7 linked regions of the Sus scrofa genome follow. The protein of the gene in region 1 interacts with the protein of each later gene in a pairwise test. Links are inferred from orthologs where the notes say so. Each region holds a gene or a part of one and is shown in the gene's direction. Other genes may lie near its edges.

What was found.
Region 2: the proteins of ARL6IP1 (region 1) and INPP5K interact in binary tests that used the Homo sapiens proteins (3 or more experiments, as listed by UniProt). The link is inferred for Sus scrofa from reciprocal best matches to the Homo sapiens genes ARL6IP1 and INPP5K.
Region 3: the proteins of ARL6IP1 (region 1) and FXR2 interact in binary tests that used the Homo sapiens proteins (3 or more experiments, as listed by UniProt). The two-hybrid records come from large-scale screens. The link is inferred for Sus scrofa from reciprocal best matches to the Homo sapiens genes ARL6IP1 and FXR2.
Region 4: the proteins of ARL6IP1 (region 1) and TUFM interact in binary tests that used the Homo sapiens proteins (3 or more experiments, as listed by UniProt). The two-hybrid records come from large-scale screens. The link is inferred for Sus scrofa from reciprocal best matches to the Homo sapiens genes ARL6IP1 and TUFM.
Region 5: the proteins of ARL6IP1 (region 1) and SUCLA2 interact in binary tests that used the Homo sapiens proteins (3 or more experiments, as listed by UniProt). The two-hybrid records come from large-scale screens. The link is inferred for Sus scrofa from reciprocal best matches to the Homo sapiens genes ARL6IP1 and SUCLA2.
Region 6: the proteins of ARL6IP1 (region 1) and SNX10 interact in binary tests that used the Homo sapiens proteins (3 or more experiments, as listed by UniProt). The two-hybrid records come from large-scale screens. The link is inferred for Sus scrofa from reciprocal best matches to the Homo sapiens genes ARL6IP1 and SNX10.
Region 7: the proteins of ARL6IP1 (region 1) and SNX12 interact in binary tests that used the Homo sapiens proteins (3 or more experiments, as listed by UniProt). The two-hybrid records come from large-scale screens. The link is inferred for Sus scrofa from reciprocal best matches to the Homo sapiens genes ARL6IP1 and SNX12.

Annotation. Positions count from the first base shown.
Region 1 is NC_010445.4:26,759,172-26,763,444, forward strand, and holds the start of ARL6IP1 (ADP-ribosylation factor-like protein 6-interacting protein 1), read left to right. Parts: upstream 1-1,473; 5' UTR 1,474-1,552; coding exon 1,553-1,588; intron 1,589-4,273. UniProt on the Homo sapiens protein: Positively regulates SLC1A1/EAAC1-mediated glutamate transport by increasing its affinity for glutamate in a PKC activity-dependent manner.
Region 2 is NC_010454.4:47,717,398-47,721,540, reverse strand, and holds the end of INPP5K (inositol polyphosphate 5-phosphatase K), read left to right. Parts: intron 1-120; coding exon 121-307; intron 308-1,198; coding exon 1,199-1,336; intron 1,337-1,583; coding exon 1,584-1,922; coding exon of another isoform or gene 1,923-1,936; intron 1,937-2,116; coding exon of another isoform or gene 2,117-2,176; 3' UTR 2,177-3,643; downstream 3,644-4,143. UniProt on the Homo sapiens protein: Inositol 5-phosphatase which acts on inositol 1,4,5-trisphosphate, inositol 1,3,4,5-tetrakisphosphate, phosphatidylinositol 4,5-bisphosphate and phosphatidylinositol 3,4,5-trisphosphate.
Region 3 is NC_010454.4:52,900,458-52,904,543, reverse strand, and holds the start of FXR2 (fragile X mental retardation syndrome-related protein 2), read left to right. Parts: upstream 1-1,286; 5' UTR 1,287-1,508; intron 1,509-4,086. UniProt on the Homo sapiens protein: mRNA-binding protein that acts as a regulator of mRNAs translation and/or stability, and which is required for adult hippocampal neurogenesis. Specifically binds to AU-rich elements (AREs) in the 3'-UTR of target mRNAs.
Region 4 is NC_010445.4:18,521,906-18,526,187, reverse strand, and holds the start of TUFM (elongation factor Tu, mitochondrial), read left to right. Parts: upstream 1-1,482; 5' UTR 1,483-1,769; coding exon 1,770-1,812; intron 1,813-1,915; coding exon 1,916-2,110; intron 2,111-2,582; coding exon 2,583-2,749; intron 2,750-2,961; coding exon 2,962-3,066; intron 3,067-3,151; coding exon 3,152-3,316; intron 3,317-3,434; coding exon 3,435-3,567; intron 3,568-3,654; coding exon 3,655-3,759; intron 3,760-3,866; coding exon 3,867-4,018; intron 4,019-4,111; coding exon 4,112-4,231; intron 4,232-4,282. UniProt on the Homo sapiens protein: GTP hydrolase that promotes the GTP-dependent binding of aminoacyl-tRNA to the A-site of ribosomes during protein biosynthesis. Also plays a role in the regulation of autophagy and innate immunity.
Region 5 is NC_010453.5:19,615,167-19,619,214, forward strand, and holds the start of SUCLA2 (succinate--CoA ligase [ADP-forming] subunit beta, mitochondrial), read left to right. Parts: upstream 1-1,248; 5' UTR 1,249-1,338; coding exon 1,339-1,428; intron 1,429-1,851; exon of another isoform or gene 1,852-1,996; intron 1,997-4,048. UniProt on the Homo sapiens protein: ATP-specific succinyl-CoA synthetase functions in the citric acid cycle (TCA), coupling the hydrolysis of succinyl-CoA to the synthesis of ATP and thus represents the only step of substrate-level phosphorylation in the TCA.
Region 6 is NC_010460.4:46,064,075-46,067,029, reverse strand, and holds the end of SNX10 (sorting nexin-10), read left to right. Parts: coding exon 1-181; intron 182-634; coding exon 635-716; 3' UTR 717-2,455; downstream 2,456-2,955. UniProt on the Homo sapiens protein: Probable phosphoinositide-binding protein involved in protein sorting and membrane trafficking in endosomes. Plays a role in cilium biogenesis through regulation of the transport and the localization of proteins to the cilium.
Region 7 is NC_010461.5:57,105,837-57,110,051, reverse strand, and holds the start of SNX12 (sorting nexin-12), read left to right. Parts: upstream 1-1,415; 5' UTR 1,416-1,539; coding exon 1,540-1,704; intron 1,705-4,215. UniProt on the Homo sapiens protein: May be involved in several stages of intracellular trafficking.

The DNA of each region.
Region 1 (4,273 bases):
ACTAAAATCTCCCCAAATGGGATATATCAACTGGCTGCATTTTACCTGCATAACCTGTTTTTCTCCCCAACATTTCCCTAAGTGGAACTTTACTGAAGAGTCAGTCCCCTTCCCTTGCAGAGGCTTTTTTTTTTTTTTTAATCTCCCTCCAAGTGTTTATACCTGATCAGATGCTTTATTTTTTTTCACAGTAAAAAAAGAAACTTACATTCTTATATCACAACAGAACAAAGGGTGGAAAAAAATGTATACATGTAAGTGTAACTTGGTCCCCATGCTGTACAGCGGGGAAAAAAAAAACACAATTGGTTAATAGTATAATAAAAAAATGCCACATGAGATACCAAAAAAACCCAAAAACAAACGATGGCATAATATAGAAGACTATAAAAAGTTAAAAGCTATGCTAAGTTTTCCTCAAAAAGACATCTGACCAGGTCAACATTTAGCATATTTCGAGCAATGAAAATGAAAGCATTTTTTAAATACATTTTTGTGAAGTCCTGGAGAGAAAAGATTTCTCAACACAGCTCATCTAGTTTTTGTTTTTGTTTGGCCGCTCCCCTGGCATTCATCTGCTTCTTAAATTCCAATTCATTCCACCCTTATGAGAGAGTTGACATCTTTCCTTAGCATGACCTCTAATGTAAAAAGATCTGTCAAAACAAGTCCCTTTTTGGAGAGGGAGTTCGTAGTTTACCCCACAAAGAATTTCCCCAAACACCCTATATAAACAAGCCGATTTTTTTAAGTCAATGCATTTTTCACAAGTTGTCGAACTACGCCAAGATTTTCTCCTACCCCCATCAAACTAAGGCCTTAAAGGGGAGTAACATTGCGGAAAAAAAATCTACATAAATAGCCCTATTCATTTGTCCGCGAAACCTCACGAGATGGGCACGAGTCATAAATCCAGGCTAAACTGCTCAAGGCTGCGGGAGCAGGGATCAGAAGGCGGGGCCGACGGGGAACAGCTGGGGCGAGGGCCACAGGCTGCTTCTGTTAAGAGGATCCCAGCCGGCCCCCTTAATCACAATGAAGTTAGCGTCACATGACCACCTCTGCCTTCCGCCTGATACTGGGTGGCATATTTCCTCGAGGACTAATTCCGGAGAGTCTCCTTGGCTGCTTTGAGGTCCCCCTGAAAGAGCGTCCGAGAGCTACGGTTCCCACAGGCCCCGGGGATACTGAGGCCACACCAGGCCCCGGGCAGCGGCCGTTCAACCGCTTCTGAAAGGCCTGGGCGGGGCGTCGCACACCTCCTGGGCGCTGATTGGTCATTCAGTGTCCCCGCCTCCTCGGCCCCGGCGTTCTCACTCTCCTTTGACCTCGGTTTCAAGACATGCGCTGGACAGCGGTTGGCCGCCCCGGCTTCAGCTTCATCTTGATTTGCCCAATGAGGAGCGAGCTTCGCGGGGTCTGTCGGGAAAGGCATCCAGCCTATATAAGCGGCTTGCGGGGCGTACCCTGATGCCAGGGTAGCCTTAAGGGGTTCGAGAGAGCTCTTGGTTTTGTGGCGTCTTTCGCTCCTAGAGACGACACCTCAGGGACGATGGCAGAGGGAGATAATCGCAGCACCAATCTGCTGGTGAGTCCTGGCGGCTTCGTCGTGAGGGAAATGCGCTGGGTTTCTGGATATTAGGCTCCATGGGACGGCGCTGCGGCTTCGTTCCTATCACCTGCCGCGGGCCCGGCCTCCTCTCCCGGTGCCCAGGTGCAGGCGACGACTCCTGCCCTTTGGATGTCGTGGGTGAGCCTTGCTTGGCGGTCACTAGTCGTGTCCACGCCTAACATCCCTTGGGGACGGTTCGCGACGGAGCGAGGGCGCGTGATCATTCACCGCGAATAGAGGTTGAGGAGGAAGCGAGAGAAGAGGGGCTGGGACCCGCCTGGGGTGCAGTCACTGGCTGAGGGCCGCGAGTGCCCTGTCGAGTGCTTCGGGGGGCCCAGGCCCCAGCGGTATCCGGGTTTTCCCTCTTTCATCTTAAGCAGGACATCCTTTCGCCCTTTTCCCCAGTATTTGGTCAGGGGTTGAGGGTCAAAGGGTTGCTGCCGATAATTTGTTAGAGCTGGCACAGCTTAACACGGCAGCGAGGCTGCAAACTCACCGCTGGGAACCGAAAGTAAGAGTCCAGCCGGAAGGACTATGGGAGGTCTCGGCGTTAGTCTGTAACTGATAAACCTTTGGGGAAGGGGGAGGGTCACGGGAGGACTTTCGAGTAAGCAGGGGTCTAAAGGAAATGCAGTGAGGTTCTATCACAGGCAGACAATTTTAACCTCACTGAGAATCACGCAGGATCTAGGCAAAAGGGAAGGAAGGATCAGTCCATTTTCTACGTTGCATTTTCCCCAGGGAGAGTGCTAATGAATTAAGTGACTTTGCAGGGCAGTTTTGATTGTGCATGATTTTCGTTTTGCATTGATTTTTAGAAACGTATGACCTCTGCCCCATGACACACACACAGCAAAAACCTCTTCTCTGTGGTAAGCCTAGTTAGCCCCAGCCAGCTTCGTTTTAAGAATTGATTGTAGCACAAAGAAGTTGCCCAAGTTTACACAGCTGTTGAGACAACCGATATGGGCTCTGCTCTGCTGCTCTCTCTGCAGAGCAGTGTGGCTTTAAGGACAGGCCTTTGGCCTTGGATTTGCCAGATTCAGATCTGTTAACCTCTGTGTATCTCAGTGTCCTTATCTATAAAATGAAAATAATAACATCTTCCTTTCAGTTTGTTACGAGAAATGATTAAAATATAAACACAGAAAACATTTAGCAGAGTTTCTGGCACATGATAATCTTTTTTAACTTATTAAACATAGTATATAAAGTCAGAAATATTGAGGTTCCACCTAAGTGATCAGTGTGGCACAGCATTTTTTTTTTTTTTTTTTTTTCTTTTTAGGGCTGCCCCCATGGCCTATGGAGGTTCCCAGGCTAGGCTACACCACAGCCACAGCAACATCAGATCCAAGCCAAGTCTGCAACCTACACCACAGCTCTTAGCAGTGTTGGATCCTAAACCCACTGAGCAAGGCCAGGGATCAAACCTGCGTCCTCACGGATACTAGTCAGATTCGTTTCTGCTGAGCCACGACAGGAACTCCACAGATGTCATCTTCAACAAGGTTAAGCGGCACTGTCTCCTATCATTTGCCTGTCTCCCTATAATAACAGTCATAAGGATACATGGGTTTCTTCCAATTTTTTTTTTTTTCCTCTACCAGAATCAGTTTAAAGGCTTTTTGTCACATTGGCTTCATCCTAGAAGTTTCCTTGCAGGTGATTGTCAGATTTGCAGAGAAATTTAAAGTCTAACCACAATGTCTGCTAAGTGTCAGAAGCATTTTATTGAGGTAAATTGGGCTTACTGTGCCTCATATAATTTGGTGAAAGCACCCGTAGTTTTCCTAATTGTGCAGATGATGCCAACATCTAAATGATTCCATTATACAGAGAGCTGTTTTGGAAACCGCTCTTCAGGAAGAGGCTTTCCTAATGGATTCAGAAGTAGGGGGTTAAGTCAGTGAAATGAAACAACAAATTAGTTGTAACCACCTGAAATGAGCAAACTTAAAGTGATGTAATTTCATTTTCAGAAAGCTGCCACTTAGTAGGACATGACTTTGGGAAAGCAACTTTTTTTTTTTTTTTTTGGCTGTGCCCTCCTGTGTATGGAAGTTCCCGGGCCAGGCCAAGGATTGAACCCACACGACAGCAGCAACCAAAGCCACTGCAGTGACAATGCCTTAACTCGATGCACCACAAGAGAATTTGGAAAGCAACCGTTCTGAGCTCACTTTCTTTTTACTGTAAAATGGATCTAATTATCCTTATTTTATGAGGTTCTATACGGGTTATTATGTACATAAAGAATAGCCCAGTGCTTAGAGTTGGAAGGTGACCATTAAGTGATAATTTTTCCCCCGTAATTTCTGGCTTTGGTATCAAAACTGCAGAGTTTTTTTTAAAGACTAACTTGTTTAAGATAGTGATTTGTGGAAGTTCCCATTGTGGCTCAGTGGTAATGAGTCCAACTAGTATCCATGTGGACGCTGGTTCGATCCCTGGCCTCATTCAGTGGGTTTTGGATCCAGTGTTGCTGTGAGCTGTGGTATAGGTCACAGATGCAGCTCGGATTCCACATTGCTGTGGCTGTGGCCTAGGCCAGTGGCTGCAGCTCTGATTCGACCCCTAGCCTGGGAACCTCCGTATGCCATGACTGTGGTCCTGAAAAGCCAAAAAAACCATAGTGATTTATAAGAGCTCTTTTACATG
Region 2 (4,143 bases), on another chromosome or scaffold:
CTGACAAAGGCCCGCATGCTCTTGATTCCACGGGGCACCCCTGCCGCCATGCGGGGCTCCTCTAAGCTCGTGGGGGTGCCGACCCCTCTCCTCCCATCCTTCCTCTGCCCCCACCCCCAGTGAGAAAAAACGCAAGCCTGCGTGGACCGACCGCATCCTTTGGAGGTTGAAGCGGCAGCCCCAGGCCGACTGCCACCCCCCCACACTGCCAGGGCCCCACTTCTCCCTGGTTCTGAGGAGCTACGTCAGCCACATGATGTACAGCATCAGTGACCACAAGCCTGTCACCGGCACCTTTGACTTGGAGGTAAACGGCCCAGCCGCCTGGCAGCACCTGGCAGAGGAGCAGCCACCCTGGGCCATGTCCCCAAACCCTCCCGCCCTGGTTGCAGTGTCAGCAGATCCCCCAGGGGAGACCTGTGGGAGGACACGATTGCCCTGCCTCCCAGCTCAGGTGTCCCGGCTCTTCTTGTTGATGGCTCTGTCTGTCAAAAACCTGTTGAAACCCTTTGTCAATAGGTTTCCATTTCCTCTTGGTTCTGTCCCTTGGGGCTCCTGAGGTCCATTATGCTTATTACCTACTGGGTGAGGTAGGACTTCCTTTCATTTGTCCTAAACCCATCTGGCTCAGGTTGCGAAGGGAGCCCCTCTGTCCTTGTGCTTGTAATGGCCATCTGATGGCCAGGGTGCTGCTGCTGACCTCCTTTGAGCTGTGGCTGCCCTCAGCCTTCACCTGTCCATGCTATTTGTCCATCTTTATCCCATCATGACTCCCTGTGCCTGTAGCTGTGCTCACCAGAGGCCCCCAAATTGGGTTTGCACCTTTTGGGTCGGAAACCCTGGAGGCCTGAGAGCAGCGTCTTTCTCACCTGTCAGCAACCCCCCACCCTCCCCAGACCTCGCCACCCCCACGCTCACCCCTCAGCACTTGGCTGTCTGTTCGGTTACCCATCTGGCCCCAGTCCCATCCTCCCTGGCAGGGCCAGCTGTCTGTCCGACAAGCCTTTGGCCCTTTCTTTCCAGCTGGCCAGCCAAGGTCTGATGCCCTCAGGGCAGCTTTGCGGAGATCTCTGCCCGCACCCTGGGTGCCCCTCCTCCCCGCACTGACCCTGACCTATTGGGAGGCCCCAGCATGGACTGTTTCTCTCTGAGAAGGGAATGATGCTGTGGGATTTCACCCCCCTTCCCCTGTGTGTAGCTGAAGCCGCTGGTATCTGCTCCGCTGATCACCCTGCTCCCCGAGGGCCCGTGTACCACCGAGAGCGACCTGCTCATCAGCTACTCCCTGGCCTCGGACTTCCTCAGCAGCCCCTGGGACTGGATCGGACTGTACAAGGTGATGCTGTGGGCGGGGCAGGGAGCGTGTCGGCCACGCCCCCACCCCGGCCCCCACCCCGGGGTCTAAGAGCTCGTGGGGGCGGGGCAGGGCACAGAGACTAAGGAGCTCCCTCTTCCACCCCAGGGGTGCCTGCCCACCGAGGAGGCAGAGGATCAGCCCCAGAAATGAGACCACCCTCTCCCTAGGATATGACGTGGGGCCTGGGTCCTCCCAGACCACTGACCCCCTGATCCCCCTCCCACAGGTGGGGCTGCGCCACATTAATGACTATGTGTCATATGTCTGGGTCGGGGACAACCAGGTCTCCTTCGGCGACCAGCTGAACCAGGTACCTGCCCCCTCTCCTGAGCTAGGTGTTCCGCGCCTCCAGCAGGTAGGCTTGCCTGAGGGCTGCTGTCTTCTGGAAGGAACAGAGCCAGTTTCCCTTGTCACTGAGAGCTGGGCCTGGGGCTGTGGGCCTGACCCCCTTCCTGTCTGTCCCCGCCCCCACAGGTATACATCAGCCTCAGCGACATCCCTGAGACTGAGGATGGGTTTCTCCTCTTTTACTATAGCAACAGCCTGCGTTCTGTGGTGGGGATAAGCAGACCCTTCAAGGTAAGGGACGCTGGTGAGTGAGAGAGGGGCGGCACTGAAGACTTGAGCCCATCGTCGTCCCCCAGGCCCCCGGCCGAGGAGCCCTCCCCCACGCATCCTTTGGGGAATGGGGCCCCTGGAAGGCCCAGAGCAAAAGCCTGCGGTGGCCCCTTGCGCTCCCCGCCTGTTTTATTCCTGCAGATCCAGCCTCGCTCCTTCCTGGAGCAGGACTCACTGGATGAAGCCCAACCACAGATCTGAGCCAGGATGCGAGTGAACCCGGGCGGAGGCCGGCGCTGGCTGCCAGCTCTGCCTTCACTGCCAGGAGCACTGGGGGCCCAGCCCTGCCCCCTGAGGAGGCTGCAAGTCTCCTCCACCTCCCAGGGCGAGTTCTAGCCACACTCCCTCCCTCTCCGCAGTCCAGATCTCCAGGATCAGCCCCTTCAATACAGGTTTCTGTGGCTCAGGTGTGAGTGAAACCAGCTAGTTTGTCAGCAGTGAAGCTCTAGACAGTCCGCTGGAGGAAGGACCCTCCAGCTTGCATCTCATTTCTCCATCTTCCCCACACACACACTTGTAGTCCTGCCCAAGCAGGCCTGCCGGGCACATGCCCCATCTGGCACAGGCCCGCATTCTTGTCACGCCACCCTGGGCCTTAGGCTGCCTGGGAGGGGGAGATGCTCACGTTTGTGTAGACTGCGTAGACTGGTTGGCGAAGGCAGCATTGGGTTCTAGGAGTCTTGGTATCTCATTGCCTGTCCCCCTGAGGGGTGGGCAGAGGGTCTGGGGTCCCTGCTTTCTGCAGAAGCAAATGACTAAGTAGGCAGGATGGAGGGGGGCCTCCACCCAGGCTCTTACGTAGGGCTTGTGGGCAGGCTGATGGTGTCCTTCCGCCAGCACCTCCATCCTCACCCCTAGAGTCTGACCCAGAAAGTTCCAGGGTGTGAGCAGAGAATAGGACCCTGGTTCACTTCTGCTAGTGGATCAGCCTCCGTGCCCCCAACCGGCCCTCCCGTGAAGTGTTGGCAGGTGGTAGAGGAGCTGTGGCCACAGACTTTCACAGGGTGGGCCTTGCGCAGTCCAGCTCATCTGCCCCTACCTTTACCTGCTGTCACCGGCCAGAACCCTGCTCTCTCTTTAGAGCGCTGTGGGACCTCGGAGTGAGGGCAGGTGGAGAGGAGAGCCAGAATCCAGCCGTTGTGGAGAATCTGGCCCCGGGGGTCTTCCGAGAGCATTCTCCAGGTGCTGCATGGGCCTGGCCTGTCCCCACTCCCACCATTTGCCTTCAGCCTCTGGTGACTCAACGGCCCTTCTCCCTGGAGGAGACACCTCAGGGAGCCTGCTCTGTGACTGTCACTCCCATCCTACCACCTGCAACCGAGGGACACTCCTGCATTCTTACTCCACCCTGGGAGCCATCAAGAACTGTCCCTCTCGGAGTTCCTGCTGTGGTGCAGTGCGATCAGCGGTGTCTCTGGAGCGCTGGGATGCAGGTTCGATCCCTGGCCCAGTGCAGTGGGTTAAGGATCCAGCAGCACTGCTGTAGCATAGGTAGCAACTGTGCCTCGGATCTGATCCCTGGCCGGGGAACTCCATATGCCATTAGGGGCGGGGGGGGGGGCAAAAAAAAAAAGAACTGTCCCTCTGGCTTCTAGCAGGCCATGGCCAATCTGTGTTCTGTGGCTGTTGCGTTGGTGGATAATTAGAAACATGGCTTTTACAAATGCACGTGACTCCGTCATGATGGTGCTGGGAGCGGGCACACGGTAATGGGCCCTGGCTGGACCCCAGGACGAGGGACCTGTCGTCCAGGCTAGACTGTGTCTGAGAGTGACACATGTTGCCCAGGTGGGAATGGGCTGAGGTTCTGGGATGGTGGCCCTCTGGGTCCCTGGCCCAGGTGGGGCGTGTCACCTACGCTGTTGGGTACTTGGTTTACTCTGCTGTTGAGTAGGTAGGATGGGTTTCCTGGGACTGAGCTCTCAGCAAGGTGCTCACTCTGCTCTCGCGGTTCCTCGCTCCCCAGCTGGCACTCCCTCCCTCCTTAGTCTGAAGCCCTGGCCCAGGGTTAAGGTCTCCAAACACCTCACCATCTCTTCTCTCTGCCCCTCCTCTCCCCAGATCCCTCTGCCCCGGTGTCCCCATGGTAACTTCTGTCCCTGCCCCCGGCACACACGCACACCCAAGGAACCCTGAGCCCTCGAACTTGCCCACTTCTCACAGGCACA
Region 3 (4,086 bases), on another chromosome or scaffold:
TCTGAACTAGTTGTGGTTCCCCAAAGGACATGTTCTTTCTGCTCCTCTGCACCACTGTATTCCTTTATCACATCTTCAGATGGACTCCATGCGCTTGTTTGTTTAAACTTGTTTAACTGCCTGCCTCTTCCTCAATATGTTATAAAATCCTTGTTTTGGGGACGTTATGTCTTTGTATCTTTACCACTTAACACAGTAATTGGAACACAGGGAGGGCTAAATAAATATTTGTTAAATGATTAATTGTACAACACAGGATTCTAGTTTCTGGGCTATTTTATTCACTTCTACCTAAATTTCTTACTTACCTTGGTTTAAGAATCCAAAGTTTTCCCTCTACCATCCTTTCTCTGTACTAATATTTCCTATTTTGAATATCCTCAACACTTAGATTCAAATCTTGTGCTAATAACCTAAGTTGCATTTGCCTTTTGGTACTGCCTTGAAATTCTTTTCTAACCTTTCATCATATGCATGATCAGAATCTTCTTAAGGCAAGAAGACTTTAACCTCATCGCACAGTTACAGGCGATCAGAAGAGTCCAGACTGGCGTGTGGACCGTAAAACCCGGCGCATGCGCACCAGGCTCTTTTTTGGGGGGGCATTTCGACTTTTTTTTTTTTCCCATTTGGAGCGTGCGCACCAAGAAAGACAAAGGTGGGGAAAGTGACCAAGCAATCATTCAGGCGCATGCCCATCCCTAACTTGTTCAAGCCCGGTGGAGTGCACTGTGGTGAAGGGGGTGTGGTCTGACCTGGAGCAGCAGAAATCCAATCCGATTGAGTGAGCTCGGTCCCTCCCTCCCCATGATTGGTTAGCTCTCAGTGTTGTGGGGCGGGGAAAGGAAGAGATGGGGGCGGTGGAATGGTGGGGGGGACGGAGAAAGAGAGCCAGTCTGGTTCTGCGCAAGCGCAAGTACGCGACCAGGAGGGGGCGCGAGAGAGTGAAAAGAAGTGTGGAAGCCCTGGTGCGCTGGCGAGCGCGAGCTGGGTCGCCAGCCTTGACGCCTGCGCCGTGGCCCTCGGGGCCCGCGCGCGGCGGGCGGGTGCCCGGTGCGCCTGCGCAGTAGGCGGCGGCGGCAGGGGGAGGTGGAGGCCGTGGAGCGGCAGCGGCAGCAGCGGGTCCCGGGACTGAGGCAGCAGCGGGGGCGGCGGCGGGCGGAAGCTGAGGTGACGAAGGCAGCGGCGGCGGCGGCCGATTCCCTCACGGTGGCGGAGACCAAGGCGGCGGCGGCGGACGGGGAGCGGCCCGGCCCCGGCCCCCTGCTCGTTGGCTGTGGCAGGGCCGCCGTGGGGCCGGCCCGGCTCCCGCCCCCCGCGGCTCCCCCTCCGGCTCCTCCTCCGGGGAGACGCCGGGGACCTGGCCCGGCCCGTACTCAGAGCGCTGCTGCAGCCGCCGCCGGGGGAGTCGGAGGCGGTGGCGGCGCCATGGGCGGCCTGGCCTCGGGGGGGATGTGGAGCCGGGACTGCCCGTCGAGGTGCGCGGCTCCAACGGGGCCTTCTACAAGGTGAGGCGGCGCGCCGGCCAGGAACGCGGGTCTTCAGCCCCTTCTCTCCAGCCGGAGCGGGGAAGAGTGGGGCGGCATTGAGGTTCTGGAGCTAAGCCCCGACCCTTAGAGCCTTAGACCTGCTCCCACCCGCAGCCCTCGGGGTGGTGGGGGGGGAGACCTCTGGAACTTAAACCCCTTCGTCTTATGTTTGGCCCGTCTATTCCGCCTGCCTTCACCCGCATCTCAGGAAAGAACATCAGGGTATTAATTGTGCTTAGATCAGCGCCCCCCCCCCACCTCCCAGAAGAGACCCCATTTACCCAGCGTCTCATTGACTTTTCCTGTCTCCTAGTAGAAGACATACCTTAGATCTTCATCACGTCTTCCCCACAGTCCTAGCACATGGAGAATTCTCTTTATTCTCCCCTATTGCCCCCTTGGGAAGGCCGTCCCATATTAGATCCTTTCATCTTCCTCGGAGAGGCCTCTGCCTACTGGCTCTGAAAGACTCACCCCACTTTCATCTTATATTTCTGTTCCCAACCCAAGGAGAAACGGTCAGAATCTGTTTATGACATTTAGTATCTTTGACCTCAGGAACTCTGGGCTGTACCAGTCAAGTTGCCTCGTAGCCATAAGGTGGCATCTTTTCACAAGTCTCTCACCCCACCCCTTTATTCCAAGATTAGCTGGTCTACCGTTCTCCCTAGGGGTGGTTTTGTGTTTGTCATCTCACTTTGACCTCGGATACATTTAGATCCTTCGGATAGTTTCATCCTAAGGAGTGTGAGCTTCATAGCCCTGATCTCTAAAAGGGGCTCTCATGAGGATTCTCTGTTTATTTAAAGCATTTCTTTCCACTTCTGGAAGACTTTTAGCCAACTCACCCAATTTGGGAATCTGATAGCCTTTTTTTTTCTTTCTTTCCTTTTTTTTTTTTTTTTTTTTTTTTTTTAGGAGCAGCTGACTATCTTTAAAAGATCATTGTTTACTTATTTCAGCTCCCTCCGTTGCCTGGGATTTGGTTTTTTAGAACTCCTTTTATTATCGCCTTCTTTATCTGTTCTGAATCCATTTTTTTTTTTTTGTAGGAGGGGTTTTCCCACTTAGATTAAGCCAGAGGGAGACCCCAATTGCCTCTCAGGCATTTTTCTTTATGTGACTGATCTTACTCTTGTTATTTTGAACCTCTTTGGACTTTATGCCTGCAATTGTTCCAGAGACTTTCCTGATTCCTGTCTTAGTCTTTCTTTTACCCTGAGGAGCAAGCTCAGAGATACCTTTTTGTAACATCACTTTTGAGGAGAAGAGCCCCCCTTTCCTTCAATTTCCCCCAAGCTTTTCCTCCTATAAGAGACGTCTCCAGCTTTGTGCCCTTGGAAATGACTTTCTCCAGCTCCTTCCCTGTGAAGTCATATCTTGTTATAACTGGAAAGGGTCTCATATTTGCCCTTGGAGTAGAAAGTTTCTGCCCCAGCTTCACTTGGTAAGTTCAGTGTAGTCATCTTTTAACTGAGTCCAAATGCCTGTTTATTTCTGCCTTACTTTCCTCACCATTTTTCTTTATATTCTTCAGTGCCTTTAGTTACCCACAGTCCATCTTATCCTCTCGATTTAAGTCTTGCTTTTTTTATCCTAATATTTCTATATTCCTGTGTAATCCCAGGAACTACCTATTCCATTACTCTCTTGAAATGGGAGAAGGAAGCTCCCAGCTGATCCCTTCTGTCATTTTTTTCTACATACTTTCCTAACTCATGGGACTTTTTCTTCTAGCCTTCCTCTATTGCATTTGTTTCCCTTGGCAAAGTCTCTTAATTCCTTTCAGATTCTGATAGAGTACATTTGTCTCTTATATCCTTTTCCCCAAAACTTGTATTACCTTTGTTGAAATAATAAATTTTAGCCTTATTTCCCACAGTATCTTGTCCTGCATCTGGGTCCTTGCACCCCCAAGAAAAAGGATTCTTAAATTGAGTCTGAGATCAAGATATGATGTTTGCTTTTGTTCTAAGAAGCATAGGAGCCAAGCACAGCGGGAGAGATTGATAACCAGTTCAAATTAACTGTGTGAGACTGCTGGGAAGTCCTTTCCACATCCAAGTGTCCAAGAGAAAATCTCTACATCTTTCCCTTTTTTCCTGTGGGCTATGGCAGTGATAGTTGTGATTGAGTGAATTGGGGATAGGATGCTTTGAATCTGAGAGTAGAGTTCGGAGTTGAACTGAAAGCCATGCAATGTGGATTTTGTGTTCTGGCCACTTAGCATTTTCTGCTCCACGCTGCAGTTGAAAACAATAGATCCTTAAATTCAGACTAGGCTTTCTTCAACTTTCAGTGCCATATAGATACTTACCCAATCTGACCTTGTTACTGATTTAATATTCATGACTCAGCAAACTTCACTGTGGTTCAAGGAGTCTTCACGTTGCTTCTGGAACTATATATTTGGGAAGGTTCTTTTCATCGGTGTCAGAATTGGGTCTTGTTGTTGATCTTCTCCCAGGATAGAACTGCAAATGTCAGATTAGGGATCTGAGTTTTCTTATAGCTATCCCATCAACTCTTCCTCTTCTGTCAGAACTTAAGGTATCTT
Region 4 (4,282 bases), about 8.2 Mb from region 1:
CTAAAAACACAATATTAAAATTAAAAACAACAACAACATAGCACTAGAATAGAAAGCATTAGTTCAAGTACCATTCCTAAAAATCTCACATCCTGGTAGTGGCCAACAGTGTCTTAGGATAAATTCCCAGGAGCATAGTGACTGAGGTACGGGCTGGGAACCCTTTTAATACTGTACCAGCCCTTCTTAAGGAGAGCTGATGGGTTTGGAAGGACAGGAGGACAAACATCTTGGCATGTTTCTCATTGTAAAAATGACAGTTAAATTACAGAATAGTACATTGGCTAAGTGCACACTTTCTTGGAGTTTAGTTCGGCTGGGTTCCTCAATCATCCTGATGCCAGTTTTCTCACTGGTAAAACAGAGGAAATAATATTCCCACAGAATAACATTTGGCACTTTGAATGTGAACCAATATGAAGCATTTTCACAGTGCCTGATCCATAAAAAAGCTCTAGATCTGAATTTTCCAACCTCCCCTAAGCCTAAGAAGGGTGTATATATGTATTATGAATAAATATAGCTTTCTTGTCTGTGCCCAGACACTACTGAATCATAATCTCCAAGGAGGAATTAAGGAATCTATTTGAAACAGACACCGTAAATTGAGTCTTGGGATCTGATGAGTTTCAGAAACATTAATCAAGGTTAAGCAGCTGCTATTATCCTTGCAAGGTGATGAGATGATGGATGTGAAAGTTAAAGGTCATTTGCTATCCTTGCACTCATTCATTCAGTCAACAGACATTTATTGAGCACTCACTGAGTGCCCCGCCCAGTGGTAGGTGCCAGGGACACAGCCGGAACAAGACAGGCTCAGGCTGCCCTCAAAGGCACCAGAGGCTGGTCCCTTACCTGGTCATCTATAAAACTGGGTGGCTGGGGGGGACGACGATCAAGGGAATTACTCCCTGGGCTGCTGAGAGGCAACAGGGGTGGACGGCAAACTGTCTCCGCAGGCTGCGAGCCAGGAGCGAGGGTCAAAGACCGTGGGACCTGGAGCCTTCTGGACCCCGTTCCCGCCTCCTACCTAGCTCCCTTCCTTTCAGACCCAGACGCCAGGATCTGTCCATGAAGCAGATACTACTACTTCCATTTTATAGATGAGAAAACAAAGAGTCAGCGGAGAGAAGGATCACACTAGAGCCCCAACCCCGAAAGACTCCCAGGATCGTCTTCCCCCTCAGAGTTGCAGGGCCTGGTCCTACCTCCAGCTGCGAGATCTGGCCACCAGATGAGTCGCCAGACACGCGCAGTGGGTGGGACTCCACGGGGTTCGGGGCCAGGACGTTCCTGGGTCAGCCACATCCGGGCCGCCGCCTCTGCCTCAAAGAGGGTCGAGACCGTCCTTACGTACCCAGCCTCGGTCTCCCTAACTCTCACGCTAAGTGCCCGCACAGCCTGTCGCCCTGGGAACTACAACTCCCATGAGCCTCCGGGGCGCAGGTGTGCTTTGCGGCGCTCATCGCCCCCCGGCGCCACCAGAGAGAACTGCGTGGCCCCTGAACCCGCGAAGGCCAGGGGCGTCTGGGAAACTTTCTTCATCCTTCCCCACCCCAGAGGCACCAGCGTCTTCCTGGACGTCTTCGGTCCCGAGCCCGGAAGTTGACAGGGAGGGTCATAGAGACTCGGGGCTAGAAGTGCCCAAACTTGCCCTCTCGGCCCTCACTTCCGCCGGAAGCCGCTTCCAGCCTCAATTGCCCTTTGCTTGGTGCACGCGCCGGGGTCCGTGCGCCGTACCCACTGTTCCCGGCGCTCGTAAGACCACAATGGCGGCCGCCACCCTGCTGCGCGCGACGCCCCTCTTCAGCGGTGAGGGGGCGGGGAGGGCGATGGCGGCCCGGGAGTACACGGGGATCGTCGGGAGCGGCCAGGCTCAGACCCGCGCCCTGACGCCAAGCTTCTGCCCCGGCAGGTCTCGGCGCTGGCCCAACATCACTGTTGCAGGGTCTGTTGCGGCCGCTGAAGGCCCCGGCACTGCCCCTCTTGTGCCGCGGCCTGGCCGTGGAGGCCAAGAAGACCTATGTGCGCGACAAGCCCCATGTGAACGTGGGTACCATCGGCCATGTGGACCACGGCAAGACCACACTGACCGCAGCCATCACGAAAAGTAAGCGGATTTGGGGCGGGGGGGTCGGGCATTCGGCAGCGCCCGCTCTGCAGGCGGGACGTGGCGCCGGGGAGGTGGGGCCCGCCGGAACGCTGCTGGAGGTGTTTAGCATGGGCCCCAGGAGCCTCACCTTGGGTGGGCGGTAGATTGCAAGACTGGGGAGACAAGACTTCCCGTCGAAATGAAGAACTTTGTGATGCATAAATGGGGGGACCCCGAATAGCCTCCCTCCAGCCCGGAGGAGTGCCCCGTAAAGCAGAAGCGTTACCTTAGAGACGTCCCAGGGCTGACCCTTGACGCCCTAAAAGGTGAAGTTATTTCCGTTCCAGGAGTCGAAGACGAAGGTCTTGGAAGCTTGCTTTCTCCCAGGCTGTCTCCCGTTTGGGTGGGAGGGGCCCAGAGGTGTGGTCTGAGCCCTGCCTCTCCCTCCAGATCAGATCCTTAGCTGAGAGGTGTGCTCTCCTCCCGTTAGTTTTAGCCGAGGGAGGCGGGGCCAAGTTTAAGAAGTACGAGGAGATCGACAACGCCCCAGAGGAGCGAGCCCGAGGGATCACCATCAATGCGGCCCACGTGGAGTACAGCACTGCCAACCGCCACTATGCCCACACAGACTGCCCCGGTCACGCAGATTACGTTAAGGTGAGAGAGCTGCTGGGGGCAGGCCCTGGAACTGCTCCCCCGCGCACCCCCCCCCCCATCGGGAACAATGTTAGGCTTGTGGGGAGGAGGTTAAGAGAGCCAAGATGTGTGGGTTTGAGATCATGGATTTGGGGGCCTGGCCAGTGGAGGTGGCAGGGGGAGGTGGGACCCCAAGTCACTGAACTACAGTTTTCTCTCCTTTCCTCACCCAGAATATGATCACAGGTACTGCCCCGCTGGACGGCTGCATCCTGGTGGTAGCAGCCAACGACGGCCCCATGCCCCAGACCCGAGAACACTTACTACTGGCCAAGCAGGTACCCAGAGCCAGGGTATGGGTGGAAGGAGGAAAGAGGGCAGAGCCTTCACTCACAACACCGTTGCTCCCTCTCCCGCCTGCAGATTGGAGTGGAGCACGTGGTGGTGTATGTGAATAAGGCGGACGCCGTTCAGGACTCTGAGATGGTGGAGCTGGTCGAGCTGGAGATCAGGGAACTGCTCACAGAGTTTGGCTACAAAGGGGAGGAGACTCCGATCATCGTGGGCTCTGCCCTCTGTGCCCTTGAGGTGAAGGCGGGGTCAGGCCGGGCATCCCGAGCTCTGCTCTGAGTCTGGGGAGTGGCTCTCGGCAAGTTAAGGGGAGCAGAATGGAAGTTTCAGGGTCCTGTCTACCTCCCGCCCGTAGCAACGTGACCCTGAGTTAGGCCTGAAGTCTGTGCAGAAGCTGCTGGATGCTGTGGACACTTATATCCCAGTGCCCACCCGGGACCTGGAGAAGCCTTTCCTGCTGCCTGTGGAGTCTGTGTACTCTATCCCTGGTGAGGACTCTGCTCGCTCACATTCCTTCTTCTCGCAGAAGCTTGCCCAGGGTCCCTGATGTCCTGTCCTGTCCTGTCCCCTCCCAGGCCGAGGCACGGTGGTGACAGGCACGCTCGAGCGTGGTATTTTGAAGAAGGGAGATGAGTGCGAGTTCCTGGGACATAGCAAGAATATTCGCACTGTGGTGACAGGTACAGGAGGCCCTGGGCCCCTGGGGCTCCAGGCTGCCCTCTCCCCTTGTGGGCCACTTGCTCCTTCCTTCTGCCCCACACCCTCCCTCGTCTCTCCTCCCTCCTAGGCATTGAGATGTTCCACAAGAGCCTGGAGAGGGCGGAGGCCGGCGACAACCTGGGGGCCCTGGTCCGAGGCTTGAAGCGGGAGGACCTGAGGCGTGGCCTGGTCATGGCCAAGCCGGGTTCCATCCAGACCCACCAGAAGGTGGAAGCGCAGGTGAGGGCTCCGGGCGGGGTGGGGATGGGCCGGGCACTGTGGGCAGATGTGGTGCTTCCAGCCAAGCCCAGCTGCTCCCTCATTCTCTCACAGGTTTACATCCTCAGCAAGGAGGAGGGTGGCCGCCACAAGCCCTTTGTGTCTCATTTCATGCCTGTCATGTTCTCCCTGACTTGGGACATGGCCTGTCGGATCATCTTGCCACAGGGGAAGGTAGGGCACATGTGAATGTGGGTGACTTTTCCCTGGTGAAGAAAGGCTGGA
Region 5 (4,048 bases), on another chromosome or scaffold:
TGGTCAGGGAATGTTGCATGCCTTTCCAGTGAACAAAGAATGTTACCTACCCTTTCATTTCGAAAAGGATCAAGCCATCATCGGCCACTGCTGTCTCAGACATCTTCCTCCCCCGTGGTCCACCCTGAGTGGGATTCAGGATGGAAAACAGGAAGCATTCTGTTCTCTGGATACTGGCCCTAGAGAGTTAAGATGCAGCTAAGGAATAATTTCAATGAAGCCAGCATCTTCCCATAACTAGAAAAGTACTAAAATCATTAACTTGAGATGTCTATTCTTTGTGATCAGCCATAATACTTTCATGTTCTTTTTCTTAGCATAAATCTTCCTGCATCCTGGCTTCTCCTGAAACCAGGCAAGATCCTGGGCACAAAAACTTTTTCCTGTGCATTAACTGGAAATGCACTGCAGTGGCTAACTGCAGCGTAGCCACTAAAGCAGGATTCCTGTTCCTCCTCAATAAATAAACCTAAGAGCATCGTTGAGTTCTTCTGTAGGAACTAAGGCATCCACCCAGGTGGAGTATGGTAATTTCAGGCTCAGCCCATGATTCATGGAACAGCACCCTGCTATCACCCCACCAACCAATCAGCAGAAAGCCTTCCACCCCTCAGGCCTCACCCCAAATTTCTCCTATAAAAACTCCCTGAAAACTATCTGGGAGTTCGGGTCTTTTCAGCTACAGCCATCTGCTTTCCTTGCTTGGCCCTGCAATAAACCTTTCTCTGTTCCAAACTCCAACCTTTCATTTTGGCCTCACTGTGCATAAGGCACACGGACTAACACTCCCGTACCTTTTCAGAGCGGTTTTCCTACTGAGACACTGTCTCTTGGCTACAGTCCTCAGTAACTAGCGGCTGTCCATCTTCTGTTTGAGAGCAGAATCACTGTTTTATTCACTGCTGTAACCCAAAGCTCAGCTGCAGTGTTCAGCACAAAACAGACTTGCAGTACTTATTTTCTGAATGAACCCCAAGTTACAGAGGGGGCACCACCTGAGGCTCAGGTTAAGATCACACAGGTGGTGGCGCTGGTGGTCCCTCTACTACATTTTGCTAGGAAAACTTCGGTGGCTGAGCAGCGGCTGCAGGTCGGACCTTGAGGCTGCGGTGTCCGGTTACAAAGGTCAAAGTTTGCTCTGGGCAAGCCAAGCCCAGCTTCTCAGCAGCAATTCTTGCTTTGCCTGCCCAGGGTGTCCCGCCACTGCGAAGTTAACCCGAGACCCCGCCCCATGGGCGGGGCCAGGGGCGGTGCGCGCGTCCCGGGGCGCAGCGTCTCTGGTCGCTTCGAGCTTCTGCGCCTGCGCCCGGCGCCCGGGGGCCTGGGTCAGACTCAGAAATGGCGGCCTCCATGTTCTACAGCCGGCTGTTGGCTGCCGCCACCCTTAGGAATCACCGACCCCGGACGGCACTGCAGACCGCCGCCCAGGTACTGCGGTCGAGCCGGCTCTCGCTTCGAGGGTCGGCAGGAGAAAGGGCGACGTGGGGGATTGGCACCTGTGGGCGAGGTGTGAAGGGATCCGGGGCCCGGCTCGGGGTCACCCCACCGTCAGTGACATTGGGTGACAAGAGATGCCACTCCGGGCCCACGGGAGGCTTGCCCGGGAGTGCTGCCTGCCAAGACCGCGAGCCGGCTCATGTTTGCGCCTTTCTGTCCCCGCCTTCATTCTGCGAAGAGCTGTGGCCATCTGGCCCGGGCTGCTCGTCCAGTTTCCGAGGGGGCGGAGGAGAGCCAGGATGGGTAGCTAGTGGCGAGGCGGGGGTCGAGCACTTTCTCCTGCTGCTCCCGCGACCGGCGCAGTGCGCCGAGACTTCTTCGGCCCGCCTTTGGGCTGGGAGGGGAATGCCCTTCAGATGTACTTTTGTGCCTCAGGAGCTGTCATAGATGGGAATGGCTTCACATAACCAGCAGTGCTTGCTGACTGGTCTTTTCTGGGACTCAGCCGGGAAGTTTCTCATGTCTTCCAAGTAGCTGTGTACTGTTTTGTTTAATAGTGGTAATTACCAATTGGGAAGAAAAATCTTTTAGCTTTAGGAGTGTGGGTGGGGTGTATGTGGGGTGTGTAGTGCGTGTGCGTGTGCGTGTGTGTGTGTGTGTGTGTAGTAACAGGAGCAAGGGGTTGTTTGCAGCAAAGTAAGGGTTTATTTGCAGAGTGCAAGCGAGGGAGTGGTAGACAAGTCACAGATCTATTCCAGCTTGGTCTTTGAGTTGGAGTGTTTTTAAAGGGGAAGAACAAAGAAGCTGGGATTAATCATCAGCTTCTGTAATTTCTGTGACATTTTTAAATTCTAGTTTCAGGGACTCAGATTATCTCCTGTTTCTGATTCTTTTGCCAAATGGTCCGTGGCTCCAGGGCCTATTAGCTCATCTTGACCTGGAGAAACAACCTGAGTTTGTACTTTAATGATGACATCTGCAGTATTACGTTTAGTTCATTAGTGATGTTATCAACGACAGCAATTTTAGTTACCTGACTGGTTGATTAATGTTCAGTTAGAGATTGGTGGGAACAAAAAGGGAATAAAAATTGGGGTAGACAGATTAATCATAAATTCGTTAAGGAAACTTGGTTTTAGGGGCTCAGTTTAATGTATGGAGCATATACTGTGTGCCGGGAACTGTTCCAAGCATTTTACGCGTATCTCTCATTAGGCTTTTCAGCATCACTGTAAAAAGTCATTAATCTCCACCTTGTTGATGGAGAACTTGTGGCTAAGAGAATGGTAATTTAATCCAGGTCACCACACAGGTAAGGTCAGAGTTATGGCTTAATTTCCAGAACTGGCTTCGGAGTCTGTGTGCTTGAATCTGTTCTACAGTTTTTTCTAGAGCATAAACATTGGACCATTCCTTCCAACATTGACACTAGAAAAGGGAGGGGGTTGATTGACTTCATGAATTAATTCCAGAGTTTTAGGTTGTATTCTGAGGCAACCTCAGACATACCATAAATGAATTGATTTAGACTTTTTTTTCTTTTTAAATATTTGTACTTTCAACCTAGAGATAGTGAATTCTATGAGTTTGCTTTCTGATATGTCTTTTTTTGGCCTTGAGCTTCCTTCTTATGAGTCTTAAAGGGTGCTGTCTAGCTAGGTTTTAGACTATGAGGCTTTGATGAACAAATATGTCTCCATTCTAATCATTGTTTTTATCCTCTTGGAAGTTCCTTTAAAAATCTCTGTGTCTCCATGTAGAAATGCCTAATATTTTGTCTTAAACATCTTCTCTTCTTTTCCATGCTCACATTAAATAGTACAGCTTTGGAGTTGGAAATCTCCCGTCTAGCCCCTTGCTTTTGTACCTGGGGACATAGAGGTATGGGGCCTAAGGAATCTTGTCTAGGTTTACACACTGAGTTTAGCAAATTCTCATAAACATTTTTGTTTAGTTCTCTGACCCTCTTCTAGTTTCTCTGTATCTTTCATCCAGTGTATATTTTATAAAAATAGTTCAGTTATGAGCATGTTAAATAATTTAAGGAATTTTCTTGCTCGTTGTGAATCATACTCCCTAGTAACTGCATTTTCCCACTTTTGAATAAGTATTATTTAAATTCGGTATGTGATTGGATGGGTGGCGGTGTAGGTAGGGATTTGACCAGGAATTGGTGGCCTTTTCTTCTTCTTCTTTTTATGGCTGCACCTGTGGCTTGTGGAAGTTCCTGGGCCAGGGGTCCAATGGGAGTCACAGCTGGAGCCTAAGCCACAGCCATGGCAACACCAGATTCTAGCCGAATCTGTGACCTCCACCACAGTTTGGGATTTTTAACCCACTGAACAAGGCCAGGGATCAAACCCATATCCTCACGGAGACAGCATCGTGTCCTTAACCTGCTGAGCCACAACGGGAACTCTAGTGGCCTTTTGGCAGTTAAGGATCTTCTAAGTGACAGTATCAGGAAAGAAAAATACTTAAATGTGAGAATCTTCGTGATTGTGCAGGGATTTGTATTACCAACATAATTCACAGCTGATGATATTTCAAGTTGTAACTTCTAGTGGTACAAAGAAAGGATTATCACAATACCTCAGATACTTAAAAAAAC
Region 6 (2,955 bases), on another chromosome or scaffold:
ACAGCAGCCTCCACCTCTTCTTGCAGAGCCATCTGAATTCAGAAGACATTGAGGCCTGTGTTTCTGGGCAGACGAAGTACTCTGTAGAAGAAGCAATTCACAAGTTTGCCTTGATGAACAGACGCTTCCCTGAAGAAGAGGAAGGGAAAAAAGAAAATGATATAGATTATGATTCAGAAAGGTATCTCCTTGCATGTTGATTCACTGTGTACGTATTTATGTGACACGGCGTGCACATATGCATGTGTGGAGATATATACACACTTCACTTTTTTGTTGATGTCATACTAAGATAATGAAAAAATTAATTGACTGAGATTTTATTGAGCTGTGACAGCTCATCATAGGAGTCTTCACACACACCTCCACACTGAATTAATGAATGCGGTAGAAATTCAATTATCTGCATTCTGATTATGTGACTTTCATTTAGTCAGACTTGAATTATTCGCGTTTAAATTATCTAGCTAAAAAAATATCCAACTGCACTCCAAATGGCTAATTAAAAGTCCAAATTTCCTGTCTCTCTTTGTGACTGGAGATAATTAAAGTTCTCCTCTGTTACTCAGCCTTTGAGTGTGTTGTGAAAACCAATTTCCTCTTTTTATTATTTTCCCCCTCTCTTCTTTTCCAGTTCATCCTCTGGGTTCGGACACAGTAGTGATGACAGCAGTTCACACGGATGTAAAATGATCACAGCTCCGCAGGAATCCTGAAAAATAATTCCAATGTTACCATTCTAGGAATAGCAAATTAGGTCCCGTCGCAGAGACGAAAGCTTGCGCATATTCTCTTCTTACCTAAAGCTCCCTGTCATGTTAAGTATTTAAATTCATAAAGATGTTGTGTTGTTTATTAGTGGTATTTTTATGTTGTCCCACTTTGGCTAAGCTTCTGTAAAAAGCTACGAGCCTGTGAATGCAGCACTCCCCTTGATAGGCGCATACTGTTGGTAAAACAAGATCCTGCCCTCAAATGAAAGGATGTATGTGTTTAAAAAAAAAAAAAAAAAAAAAAAAACTAGTTGATTTTACTGCATTTTAAAAGATAGGTAAGTAGGTAGCATTTAAAATCCAGATAGAGCCTTTCTGCTGGTTTCGCTGGGGCGGTGTTGGCCGAAACACAGCAGGTGTGACGTTAGCCACCTCGGCAGACAGCCTGCTTCTCAGACAGGCAGCTGGTATTTTGTGGGTACCTCCCCTGCCCTTGGGAAGACGCTTTGCTTTGGGGGGTCTTTAACTGAAATATTTGAAGAGTGTTTATTTAACCTTTCCAGTATTCTCTTCCATACTTAGATGGAAAATGTATCTTATGAATAGAGACATGTTAAAATAATGTTTACATCTTAGAAAAAGCCAGAAATAGTGCTAGACATTTTGCTTATATTTGCAATATGTAGACTCAGAAATGCATTTGCATTGTCCAGAATCAGCTTTCACATGTGGTTTCTGGAAACAAATAATTTGTTTTCATTATCTGTGTGTAATTAGAATTACAGGTTAACGATTTATCTTCTGACTTAATGTGCAATTTCTTATCACAAGAGAACTTTCTGTGATGGTCAGTGGTGGTTAATTGTTCCTTATCTTTAAGTTAAAAGTGGGATCTTAAAAACATTAATAAATTTTGCCAATAAATATTGCCATAATTTAGAAAAGGATAGGAACTTGCTAATTTCAGAATTAATTAATTTTTTAAAAAGCCCTTTCTTTTATGGCATCTGCCTGAGGATTGGTATAATTTGATAAAAATGTCTTTTTTTTAGTGGCCCAAAGATAAAGTGTCTTAGATAAACTACATTGAACTGCAAATTTCAGATGAGGCAGAATTTTATTGAGATAATTGTCTAAGTTTCTTCCTTGTTGAATGGTACAAAATATCCCTGAATTTAACAGGAAGATATTTTTACATAGCTGGGATAACTTGTTGCTTTAATTAAATGTTACCTCACCTCATTTTAACTAGGAATTTAAAAGTTACTGCATTATTTTAAGTCTTTGAAATGCTTTTATCTAAGAACCCACAGAAAAAAAATTAGAATACGAATGATTTCCTTAATTTTGCCTTTTGTTTTTTCTGTTTGGTCTAAAACATTATTGAACTTTGTGCAAATATTTTGATTTAATGTATCTTGGACCGTATTACTTTGCCATCTAAGACATATTAGTTTAATACAGGACAAAAAAAGATTCAGCAATTTTTTTTTTAATCTTGCTAACATGTAAGGTTTGCCACCCATTTGAGTGCAGTCCCCAGCTCCTTGGCAATATGTACTTGCATTCATGTTATTTCTGTTTTACAGCAGTTTTGAAAAGCATATTACGTGCCACCAATTGTCATATAACGTTTAGATGATGCTACCACAGCCATCAAAATTGATATTAAGTATTGCCTAATACTCTGGTATGTAAACTTCATGAGGTCATCATTTTCACATTAAAAATGAAAACATCAACTTTGGTTTGTTGCAGCTCTTATTTTATACAAGAGAATGTATTTCTTCTGCCTTAGATCTAAATTCAGTGTGTTTTTGAGTGATCTGTAATTTTTAACGAATAATTTTGGTAAAACTTGGTTAATAGTCACTATAGTTGTGTACATTTGAGGCTTTTAGCTTTGGTTTGGTTGTTTTGATATCTAAGCACTGGCTTCTTAAAACTGATTTTCTGCAGTTGAGAGATTTAAATGAACTTCAGCCCCCAGTGGCTTTCTTGCTTTGTTCAAGTCTTACTTTCCTCTGGCATATTTTTATAAAGCTTTCTTGAGAAAAAGAAAACAATTACTTGAATAACTAAATAGAATAGATGTTATTTAAGTCTTTTAAATGTAACTTAAAGAATCCTCATCTTGGATGCTTTATGATTTACATACAGCAAAACTGGCTATTTCCCTGGCTGACTCTGCAAGGGCAAGACTATTCACCTATAAAGCTAGTTTATGTGTTCTTTTTGAGAA
Region 7 (4,215 bases), on another chromosome or scaffold:
CCCTATTGCCTTCATCATAAAGTCAAAGATCCTTTGCTTTAAATAGAAGGATCCTCTTCTGCCCATCCCCAGCCAGCCTACCTCTCTAAGTACTTCCATTACACAACCTGAATTGATGACAATTTCCTAAAATATCATGCTGTTTCTTAGCTGGATGCCTTTGCATATGCTATTCCTTCTGCAAGAAATTACCTTTCCCCATTTCTACTCCTGGTTGTCTTTTACATCTTTTCATGTGTGTCAAACTCACATAGTTCCTCCTCCAGGAAGCCTTCCCTAACTCCTCCAAGTATTCATGTCCTCTGCACTGCTTTGAACATTCATTTATTTTGTATTTGTCACATTATCATAGTTTTATTCACTTATCTCCCTTTCTAGAATGTTAACTCCTTGAGGGCAGGGACTCTTACTGAACTCTAGGTCTTTAGTATTTAGCACGGTGCCTGACACATGAGTAGTTGCTTAGGAGATATCAGTTAAATTGAATTAAATAACTTAATTGTGAAATTATAGGACCTTGTACTCCGTTGAAAGAATTTCAGGCATAAATGACATGGGAATTTTTTTTTTTTTTTTTTGAGCAGAAGAGTGCTGGTGCAAAGAGGAGAAAGGATGACCTAAAATTAGCACTATTGATATGGGCGCTACTCCCTTTAAATGGGCTATGTGTAAATTTGTCATATAAATACTAGTATTTCTATAGATATTCTCATGAAGACACATATTCTATCTCCATTACGGGCTGCAAGCAAGCAACCTCAGAGTGCCAAGTGTGGAGTTTTGCAGAATAGAAATAGAAGGTATTGAAAGAAATGCCCTTGGTTTGCTGAGAACACTTGAAATTAGCTTTTATGTGGCAACAAGTGGAGGATAAAGATATGCCCAAATTTTCCTAAGAAGTGAGAATGAGAAATCGTCTTTTTTGACCTCATGCTCACTGCTTTTTTGGCACCATAAATAGGGCTCAATTGCGTGTGAAATGAATTGAAACTATCAGTAGCACAAGTGGCTGGGCTGCGTTCTAGGTTCTTAATACTATTGTCGGAACCCCACCCTCCGGAGACCACCCTTCTACTTTCGTGCAAAACCGGTACTTATTCAGGTCACGGGGCTTCGGCCTATCACTGCAGAATCCAAGCTTGCGGGGCAGTGCCCACTGCAGATTGACGCATGGTGTAAGACAATTTCTTGGGCTGAGGAGCAGCGATTGGCGGATCTCGCCTATAGTGCTTCCCAGGACACTAGGGGTGTGCGTATTGGAAATGCAGGTTCCGGGGCGGCCAGTAACACCGCCCGGAAGTCTGAATGAGGCCTCCTCCGACAGCACTTCCAAACGACCTCATGGCCGCTATTCAGAGTGCCCGGCCCCGGGCAGCGGCAGCGTGCGCGTGCGTGCGTGCGTGCGTGGGCGCGCGTACGCGGTGCCGCCGTCAGTAGGTTGGCTGGTTATTTTGCAAGCGGGAGGGGCCGTGCGCGCTCCTGCCTCCGGCTTCTGTCCCCCACCCCCCCTTCCCCGGTCCCGGTTTCTCCTTCGGAAAGATGTCGGACACGGCAGTAGCTGACACTCGGCGCCTTAACTCGAAGCCGCAGGACCTGACCGACGCTTACGGGCCGCCAAGTAACTTCCTGGAGATCGACATCTTTAATCCACAGACGGTGGGCGTGGGCCGGGCGCGCTTCACCACCTATGAGGTTCGCATGCGGGTGAGTCACGGGGTGAGGGAGACAGCTGAGGGAGGACCGGGCGGCTGGGCGGGGAGGAGGCTGCCATAGGGACGGCTAATGGTGGAGAAGGCACTTGAGGGGTCATTTGGGGGTTGGGGTGTTACAGGTTTGCAGAGAGGTCTGCACATTCGGTTGTGGCCCGAGGATACAGAAAACTCCTGAGGGGGACATCAGACTGGCTTGAGGGAAAGCAAGTAGCCATGAGCAAGAAATGAAGCATGACTGAAGGCGGTAGGGAGGATGGAGAGGATTAGAGTGATATATTCAAGGAAATAGGGATCAGAACTGTAGCAACACAAGGGGTTAAGGAAGAGTGGAAAAGAGCTGGTGATGGCAAGCCAAGGCGGGGGTCCCATTACTAAACTAGGTTGTGGGAAGTCAACCTGAAGAGGGGGAACCGGAAGGCCTGGCTTCCTCCTAATGAGGTCTCCCTGGATGATGGCGTTAAGCAGAGCCTGGATTAAAGGGAAGAGAGACACCAGGAAAGGAAGACAGTGGGCTTGGTGGAGAGACTCTTCTAGGAGAGTCCCCTTGGACTGAGTGCTTCCCAGACTTGCGTAGAATTAACATCTGAAGGAGAGAAGTGTTTTATGCTTAAGTTTTCTCAGGTACTACATGCTCACTGGAAAACCTGACCTTGCACTCAGATTGGTGGCTTGTTAGTTGCTGCCCTCATCCTGTGCTGACCCTTTAGATTTGAAGTATCCAGAATGTTTATTTCAATATTTACTGGCTCTCATTTGGGTTTTCTGTATATAAATGGCCGTTTGCCCTTTCTGCTCTAGGTTAACCTTTTGGATTCATTATATTAATCCCTGGTCTGTATTTAACTTTAACATCTGACATTTCAAGACTGCCCCAGGAATGGCTTCTTCCAGTGTGCACTACAGAGGACTTTATTCTCTAGTTCTTAGTCCACAACGCTAGGGTGGAATGTGCAGAGTACATGGTTTGCAGGTTCTTTGGCCCCATTGAAGTGGTTACAGGCAAAAAGTTTGAGAGCCGTTTTCTAATTTTCCTTATGTTTTCTTCTCAGACTAGAGGGCCAGAATATTCTCTATGGACAGCATGCTGCTCAAACAGCATTTGAAGACCTAAAAGAGTGTATGTGCTTTCATTTTTGATTGAATGAATTGAATGAGAGAGTGTGCTCTCCCATCTGGGTTTTTGAAATCAAATTGAGAAATGATCATCTCCAAATTCAAGTTTGGAGAAGTCCAAACTGAAGAAACGCTGATAGCAAAAAATGAGAAAAACTTCTCTATATCAGGACTGTTCGAAATCATCTCTCTGGGGAAGAATGGGAGGTAGATCCCTCAAAATATGATAAAAGCTGGGAATTGTTAGTGGTAGAGAACCTAATTACCTGAGGAAGCCTGGGCGTAACTTGTTCATTTTAAGAACTCTGCTGTAGGGTTTTGAAGACATTGTCTTGATGTATAACCCAAGAACCATAGGGATTATGAACGGAATTGTTCTCTTCTTCAGACTAGTAATAACTGCAGGGACTGTTCATCTGGTGCCTACTGTGAGCCAGGCACTGAATTACGTTTTAGTTTTTTTTTTTTTTTTTCTATCTTTTTAGGGCTGCACCCGAGGCATATGGAGGTTCCCAGGCTTGGGGTCTAATCGGAGCTGTTGCTGCTGGCCTGTGCCACAGCCATAGCCACGCCAGATCCAAACCGCGTCTGTGACCTACACCACAGCTCACAGCAACGCTGGATCCTTAACTCATTTAGCAAGGCCGGGGAATCTGTGTCCTCATGGATGCTAGTTAGATTTGTTTCCACTGAGGCACGATGGAAACTCCAAGTTTTAGTTTTCAAATTCTTACAAAAACACCCTTTTTACAGATAGGAAGCTCAGGAAGAATGCAGTTTAACTTGCCCAAGTACACATAACTAATAAGTGGCAGGGCTGGGATTTGAATGCAGGTTGATCTGATCCAAAGCCCATCATACTCTTTCCACTACACTTTAGTCTCTTTGGCAATGCTTAGTTGCAAAACTTTAGTGTACAAATTTTTTTCTACCCACTAAGCTTTTCATCAGTCCTTTCCACAATTACAAATTGTATAGCGATGATAGGGTTGATTGCAGTTCCTAATTCTGTGGGTTTGAGTTAATTTGTATTTATGTTAATTTGTATGGCTATATAGGCTTTTAATATTTAATATTTTATTCTATTTTAATATTTTATCAAAAAAGAGGAAAGTTGGTAAAATCATCCAGTTTTAAATTGGTAGGCACTATAGGGAGCCTGAGACTCAGAGAATGGGCTTTGAGAGTTAGGCATTGTGTATGGTAGAAGAAAATGGTACTGACATTTTTTCTTTGTATAATAGCTCAGGGAAGGACCCCCCCCCCCCAAAGAAATAAAGAGTCTGGAGAGATGTCCTAGTGACTTCGCATGATATATATGGAGCTTTTCAATTGTCGGTTTTGGGAGTTCTCTTCTGGCTCAGCAGGTTAAGGATCTGGCATTGTCGCT